2 linked regions of the Cricetulus griseus genome follow. The protein of the gene in region 1 interacts with the protein of each later gene in a pairwise test. Links are inferred from orthologs where the notes say so. Each region holds a gene or a part of one and is shown on either strand. Other genes may lie near its edges.

Region 1 (3,819 bases):
CTCTGGGCTGACTGGGTAACTCCAGTGGGCTACATGATGTAAAGCTAACTGGGGTTGCACCCTGACTTAGTTTTTTTCTTTTCTTCAATGTGGAGCTCTTCTGGTGATGCAGTATCCCAGGAAAAGCCCTATACATATGTACCTCCATATCTCGTTCCAGCCTCAATTCCAGCATCCTCATGCTGCCAAGCCTGGGCAGTCCTTACTAGGAGAGCTGACTTTCCCAGAAACCTTTGTATTTAAGTGATTAATTGGATTTTAACCAATAAATGTACAATGAATGGAGCTGGCATAGACTTTGGAATAGGTGTGTAGAAGGCTCACACCTGTCTCAATTATTCCTCTAGACCCAGGGACAATTTCTTTTTTTTTTTTTTAAAGATTTTATTCATTTATTATGTATACAATATTCTGCTTCCATGTATATCTGCACACCAGAAGAGGGCACCAGGTCTCATAACGGATGGTTGTGAGCCACCATGTGGTTGCTGGGAATTGAACTCAGGCCCTCTGGTAGAGCAGTCAGTGCTCTTAACCTCTGAGCCATCTCTTCAGCTGCGCCCCCCCCCCCCCCGGACAATTTCTACCCCTTCCTTCTTCCTTTCCTAGGAAGCTCAGTGAGTGAGAACTGCATCTGTATGGCATTTTGATCTAAGCTCTAGCCAAGTATTAGAAATATTGAAAATACTTACCAATCATGGCTTCTATTGTGGGGTATGTGGGGGACATGGAGGCTGTCAGTATAACAGACTTGTGTTGTCCCCACCCCTTTCCCCGCCCTGTTCTCCCCCTCAGCTGAATAATTTAAATTCTAATTCTAGAATTCCTCCTTGGATTTTAGATTCCACATTCTTTATAGGTCCCAGTTCCCATATTTGTTCCAACCCATGATGGTTGAACATGTAAGTTTTGGATCCCTTCATTAATAATGTGTCTGAAATGAAAAAAAAAACAAAAACAAAAACCAACTAAACAGACAACAACAGCAACAACAAAACAAGTCTTGCCCTCGGTGTCCTTTGTTTCTTAGCAATGCAAGGCACCGTTCATTCAGAAAGTTCATCATCTGGCCTTTCACCCTTGGTAAATCCAGGGCCCCTTCCCTCAAGTCAAGGTCAAGATTGACAGCAGGTTTTGTTTGTTTTTGTGTTTGACACTCTTGTTATGGTTGAAAAGGCCAGTAGTTTCTGTGTTACTCACTTTGTTGCAACAGAATCTTTTCTCGCTCCATCTTCTCATCCTTCTCCCATTCTGCCTTCCGCCTGGACCATGTATCTTCCATTTCATCATAAACGCTATCCTGTGGGGGCACAGAGGCACTTTGAAAAGAGCTATAACATGGGGGTGGGCACTGCAGATGCTTTGACAGCACCCTTGGGCACTCAGCAGAGCACTGGGACCTTGCTCTCCCTTCAACTGGGCATCACCAAGGGGCCCCTATGTGGGTGATACTTAAAAACAATTCCGGCTAAACTTTTATGTTTCTGGTTATGAGCCTACCCTTTAACAGCTGAGCCATCTCTCCAGCCCCAGCTAAGCTCAGTGGGGAACTAGGATAAGCTCAAGGGTCAAAGGGCTATCTACAAACTTCAAACAGCGTTTGCCAAGCTGGATCTCAACTTCCTTTGAAGACAGGAAAGGCTCTCTGTTTCAGAGATCACATCCGATTCTGCATTTTCCTGTAAGAGAGCTAGCTCCAACTCTGGAACTTGATCAAGTCTGGGGAATTGTCCTATTTTGTTTTCCATTGCTGTGACAACAGACAGATCAAAAGCAACTTGGGCAGGAAAGGGTTTATTTAGTTTATACTCCTACATTCTATTCCATCACTGAGTGAAGTCAGGGCAGGATCTCAAGGCAGGAACCGATACAAAGACCATGGAGAAGTGCTGCTTACTGGCTGGCTCCATGGCTTGCCTAGCCTGCTTCTACATACACCCCAGGCCCACTTGTCCAGAGGTGGCCCCACTCACAGTGGGCTGAGCTCACCCACAAGAGTTATTAATCAAGAAAATGCCCACAGACTTGTCCACAGGCGATGGAAGCAATTTCTCAAATGAGGCTCCCTCCTCCTGTTTGTGTCACGCTGACAAAAAGCCAACCAGCTCAGGGATGAAAGGAATGGGCTATGTTCTGAAATAACTCCAGCGTTGAGTTCATGGACTGTGTAGAATGCGACAGACTTTTTGGATAGCAACGTGACCAAATCCGTGAAAGGCCTTAAATCTGTTCATTCCTTTGACTAGCATGACTAGTACTCCACTGCTAGGATCAACTGTGTTCAAAGTGCTATTTTCCATCACAGCAAGTGACCGAAACAGCACATGGTCAACAGGAAGGGGACAGAGAGATGCCGAAGGCATGTTCATTAGGATGGGCAGTCATGAAAAAGGAAGGAGAGGCACTAATATGCCCAGTGAAAAGATACAAAAATGTACATAGATTCGCTATGCCATAGTCTCAGTGAAAGTTAAAGCAAAGCACAGGTATTTGCAGGGGTCACCTCTGGTGAGTGACAATTCTTTCTTTTAGGTGTTGCTGTTGTTGGTTATTTCCACTGTGTGTGTGGGGGGAGACACTTACTTGTTTTATGTGGATAAGTGTTTTGACTGCACCTATGTCTGTGCATTGTGTGTATGCCTGGTGCCTGAGGAAGCCAGAAGAGGGAGGGCATTGGAACTGCAGTTAGAGATAGTTTTGAGCTACCATGTAGGTACTGAATCTAGGGTCCTCTGGAAGAGCAACCAGTGCTCTTAACTGCTAAGCTATCTCTCTAGCCCTTCTCTCCTCCCCCCATTTCCTTTTTGAAAAACCGTCAACAGCTATTACTTTGATGACCACAAACAGTTTTTTTCAATAGACCTCTTCAGATTTGCACGGTTGGTCTGTCAAGCATGGAAGCCTCTGGTTCATGCTTCCTGCTGGGTACAGTAGTGACACTGTGGTGGAAAGATGTTAGAATCTCTACATGTTGTCAATCAGAGATGAGCCTTGCTTCTCATCCTCTCAGAATCTATCAGACAACTCTGAATCTCACCTGATACATGTGAAACATATTCTTCAGATACTTATATTCTTTGCTCATTCCATCTGAATGGAAAGAAAACAAGGGCATCACTATTTCTGACAGGCACACTTTCCAAATCTCATGTGAACTACTCAGCACCACACTCGAGGTCCTCCCAAGGTGATGAAATCTTCCTATGACTCCCCAGTCACTCTGGAAGCTTATTAAAAACCCAGATGTTGGATCCTGCCCGAGCCAACTAATGCAGAGCATCTGGAGGTGGGGCCTGGCGCTCCTTGACACATATGCTTCTCAGTGATATCGACACTCACCTGCTCTGCTCAACCATTTTAGTAAGAACCCTCGGAAGTACATGCTTGTCTGTGGGAAGAAGGAACAGCACTTCCCAGCATGCACCTGCTTCTCCTCCCAGCATGCACCTGCCTCTCCTCCCAGCATGCACCTGCTTCTCCTTTTAGTAACACTTGTCCCTTTACAATGGTTCTGAAAACCACATATTCTCTTTAGGAAACTGGAAAACAAGCAAAGTATAAATAAGACACTAACTTAAAATAAAGGACTATAGACTCTATAGTTTAGAGTTTCTCCTCTCTGTGGGCATAAGTCTGTAAAGCCAGTATCTGAAGGATGCACACTGCTCTTCCCAAGGGCAGTGTAAGCAGTGAGGCTTACCCAGTAGAGCCCTATGTGCTACAGAGCCTTGCAATCACAATGTCAATTAGGATGTAATAAAACACTGCCATTTTACATGTGAGAAAACCTGAAGAAATCATAATGATATAGTAATTTTA
Region 2 (3,340 bases), on another chromosome or scaffold:
CTGGGTGAGCTCAGCAGAGCTAAGGGCTTAATGTCACCATGCGGGAAATGGGCAGAAGGTTCCAGAGCAACAGGTATTCACCAGATAGAACTGCTTCAGAGACAGGCCCAGCTGCCCATCCATGTATAGTATAGAGACTGTAGGGCAACCCCAGAGGAGAGGCACCCCCACCTATGTATAGGCAGTGGGTAGAGTGAGTCCAGGAGAGGAGCACTAACTATGATGAAGGTGAAGGGGAGGAGCAAGGCTGATGAACAAGGGACACTGAGACACTGGGTATGTCCGGGATTTTTGTGGGAACTGAGGGAAAGCATCAGAATGCTTCCCTCTATTTCTGCTCAGATTAAACTCTTGACAACACAGGCATGTGTCTCCATGGCTTTCTCAAACCCAGCCATCCCCTCCCCCAGCCTCCCAACTCCAGAGTCCCTCCCCACAGCTCCCTCCCCAGTCCTCTTTCAGACCCAGGGTTCCATCCCACCCCACCCCCCAGGTCCAGGGGTCAGGCCCCAGCCTGGCATCCCTGTTGAGTTCATGCCCAGTGTGGGTCTCCACACCCCTTTCATGTTGTTTTCATATGGTCACCAAGTAACCCAGGCTGAATGTGAATTTGCAATCCTATTGCCTCTACCTCCCAAGCAATGGGATGAGAAGTTAGTCTCACTGGCCCTCTGTGGCACTTTTGCATTCTGTCTGTGGCGCGTCTCCCACTTGCCCCTGACAGTGTGGCGTGGAGGAAAGGGCAATTGGACTGATAGGTTTATTGTGAGGATGCTGGGTCAGGGTTATCAGAGGATCCTGGGCTGGGACTGGGGCTGGGGCTGGGGCTGGGGCTGGGGCTGGGCTCAGGGTCAGGTTCGCCATCAGGGCTGGTGTCCTCTGGGGACATGTCCCAGGGGAAGCTTGGTTGTCCCCGCATCTGCTCACGGTAGACACGGTCGAAGGCCTCGCTCTGTGCCACAGTGAAGTGGTTCTTCCAATCACCACTGATCCCTGGAAGGGACCAGAGGAAGGGACCACTGAGGAGCTGCTGGGGTGTCCCCCTCTGCCTCCACTCACCATGACCAACTATACCATCTGTGCCACCTAACCAGATCCCCCCATGCTTACTGCCTCCTTCTCTCACATCTAGGTGACTCTTGTCAGCCTTGTCCTTTTGACCTGTGGCCTCCCAGATCTCTTCTGGGAACTCACTTCCCTCCTAGCACCCAAACACCCACTTTATAACCTGTGTGTCACCTCCCCTAGGAGCTGCTGCTTCCAGCACATAGTACCTCTCAGGTACCCAACATGGCCTCTAGCCATGTGACTTGACGGCCAGAGCACCCCAGGGACCAGGCACTCTGAAGGCTGTACACAAATGGACCAGTTTGAGGTTTCCAAAGCCTTTGAGCTGCCTCATCTCAGCAAGATGCCCCACAAGCATGCCATCATGAGTGCTGGTCCCTCATGTCACAGTGACTATTAGGGTCTACCCCTTGCCTGTGTGGAAAAGGACCATTTGAATAGCCTGTTGAATTTTAGTTACATGTCATGTCACCTCTGGTGAGGCCAGGAGGTTCCCCAAGGGGGACTGATATACCTAGATATCCTCACTCCCAATTCTTGGAATTTAGAACATGAAACCACATGGCAACAGGGCCTGGAGATGAGGGACCGGCCTGGACCACCTGGTCCTGCTTTGTTTGGAGACAGAGTCTAAAGTAGTCCAAGCTGGCCTCAACTCTGTGTGGCTGGTTTTGGTAGGTGAGCACCACTACACCCGACTAAATACTTAATTATTCTGTATAATACACAGGATCCTGGGAACCCAGATATGGAAGCACTCAGGAGGCTTCGTTCCAGGGAGACACCCAGATGGAGGCAGGTTAGCAAGCAGGAACCTGGAATGCCAGACCTCTTGCTAAGAGTGAAGACTAGGCTAGGTGACCCTGTACACTCCATATGGCATCTGGAAAAATAAAGGCCCACCAAAGCTATGAACTACCTAGAAGCACACAGTGGTACCTTTGCGCAGGAACGCCCCCTGGCGGTGGTCCAGCAGGCTGGCTGGCAGTAGTGTGTAGTTGGACATCGTATTGGCCTTCATGGCACCAAAAGCAGAATGGGCCACCACAGAGCTCAGGGCCTCTTCACCCAGTGGCCGGCCCAGGAACTCGCAGAGGCGTTGCACGGAGCCTCGAAGGTCCTGGGGTGGAAAGAGGAATAATCGGTAGAGTGGGGACCACTTTGGGTGGACTGGAGGGGCTCCTGACTCTTTGTCTCAATTTCCCCACCTCCAAGTCAAAGCTTTGGGCCTCCCTGTCCTCCAGGATTCTAGAGGATTCTGCAGGGGGTGGGGGAGTGTAAGTTGGCAGAGGTCAGCCCTGCAGCTTACAGAGAACCCTGTTGTATGTCAGAAGTGGACAGTTGTGGGAGAGACTCCTTGACCCTTCCCAACATCCCAGCACCGGTCTCTAGGGTTTACCCTACCCTATCTGCCTCAGCCCAGATACCTGTCATGCCTTTTTTTTTTTTTCCCGTGTCCTCATCTCTAGGTCCCCAATATCCCTATCCTAGCCCACATCACATCCTCTCTCTCGCAGACCCTCACGTCTGCAAGCCCTTTCCGAGGCTGCCTGCTCCAGCCTCCTTCCTAGCCCTTCAGTTCCGCCACTCTTCCCTAGCTTCCCCGATTCAGTGACTCCCCAGAATGTGGGACAGAGTCTATCCAGGCCTGATTTTCAAGGACAGAGTGGTTTGGTGTGAGCCCCTCCTTCCCACACTTCCCACCTCCACATCTTAGCACAAGATTTCTTGATATGCTCTTTGCCACTGATAAACTCAATTGCCATCTTCCTTGTGACACTTGGCTCAAGTGCCAGGAACCAGACTGTGACCCAAAGTCCTCATTCACATTTGTGCTGATCCTGCCATCAGCTTTGAACCTAGTTGGCAAACAGAGGTCCAGAGATAGCAAGATACTTGTCCAAAGTCACATAGCCCGGAAGCTCAGACTCAGGCCCCAAGCCCCAGGTCCTCTCAACCTCACAGCCATCTTTGGGATGCAGCGTTCTGCATGGCTGGTCAGTACATAGCCCCACAGCCTGCTTTTCCAGGTCATTCCTGTTTCATAACCCTTTCTTCTCTGAGCCACCGGTCTGTCCCAGAAACACACATGTGGGCGGTGCCAGGCACCCCAGGAGTGGCCCAGAAGCTGTGCTTGGTTCCATGGCCCAGTTTTTGGAGAATAAAACCTGATTGGATGTAGGTAGAAAGACATGGTGCTGAAACCTTTTCCAGAACTTTCCATCAGAAGAAATTACCAGGATGGAAAAAATATGGGGGCTTCAGGGAATTG

The links.
Region 2: the proteins of Flacc1 (region 1) and Sult2b1 interact in binary tests that used the Homo sapiens proteins (3 or more experiments, as listed by UniProt). The two-hybrid records come from large-scale screens. The link is inferred for Cricetulus griseus from reciprocal best matches to the Homo sapiens genes FLACC1 and SULT2B1.

What each region holds. Positions count from the first base shown.
Region 1 is NC_048595.1:413,152,981-413,156,799, forward strand, and holds part of Flacc1 (flagellum-associated coiled-coil domain-containing protein 1), read right to left. Parts: intron 3,091-3,819; coding exon 3,038-3,090; intron 1,301-3,037; coding exon 1,201-1,300; intron 1-1,200.
Region 2 is NC_048599.1:154,631,222-154,634,561, forward strand, and holds the end of Sult2b1 (sulfotransferase 2B1), read right to left. Parts: intron 2,189-3,340; coding exon 2,008-2,188; intron 994-2,007; coding exon 761-993; 3' UTR 755-760; downstream 1-754. UniProt on the Homo sapiens protein: Sulfotransferase that utilizes 3'-phospho-5'-adenylyl sulfate (PAPS) as sulfonate donor to catalyze the sulfate conjugation. Responsible for the sulfation of cholesterol.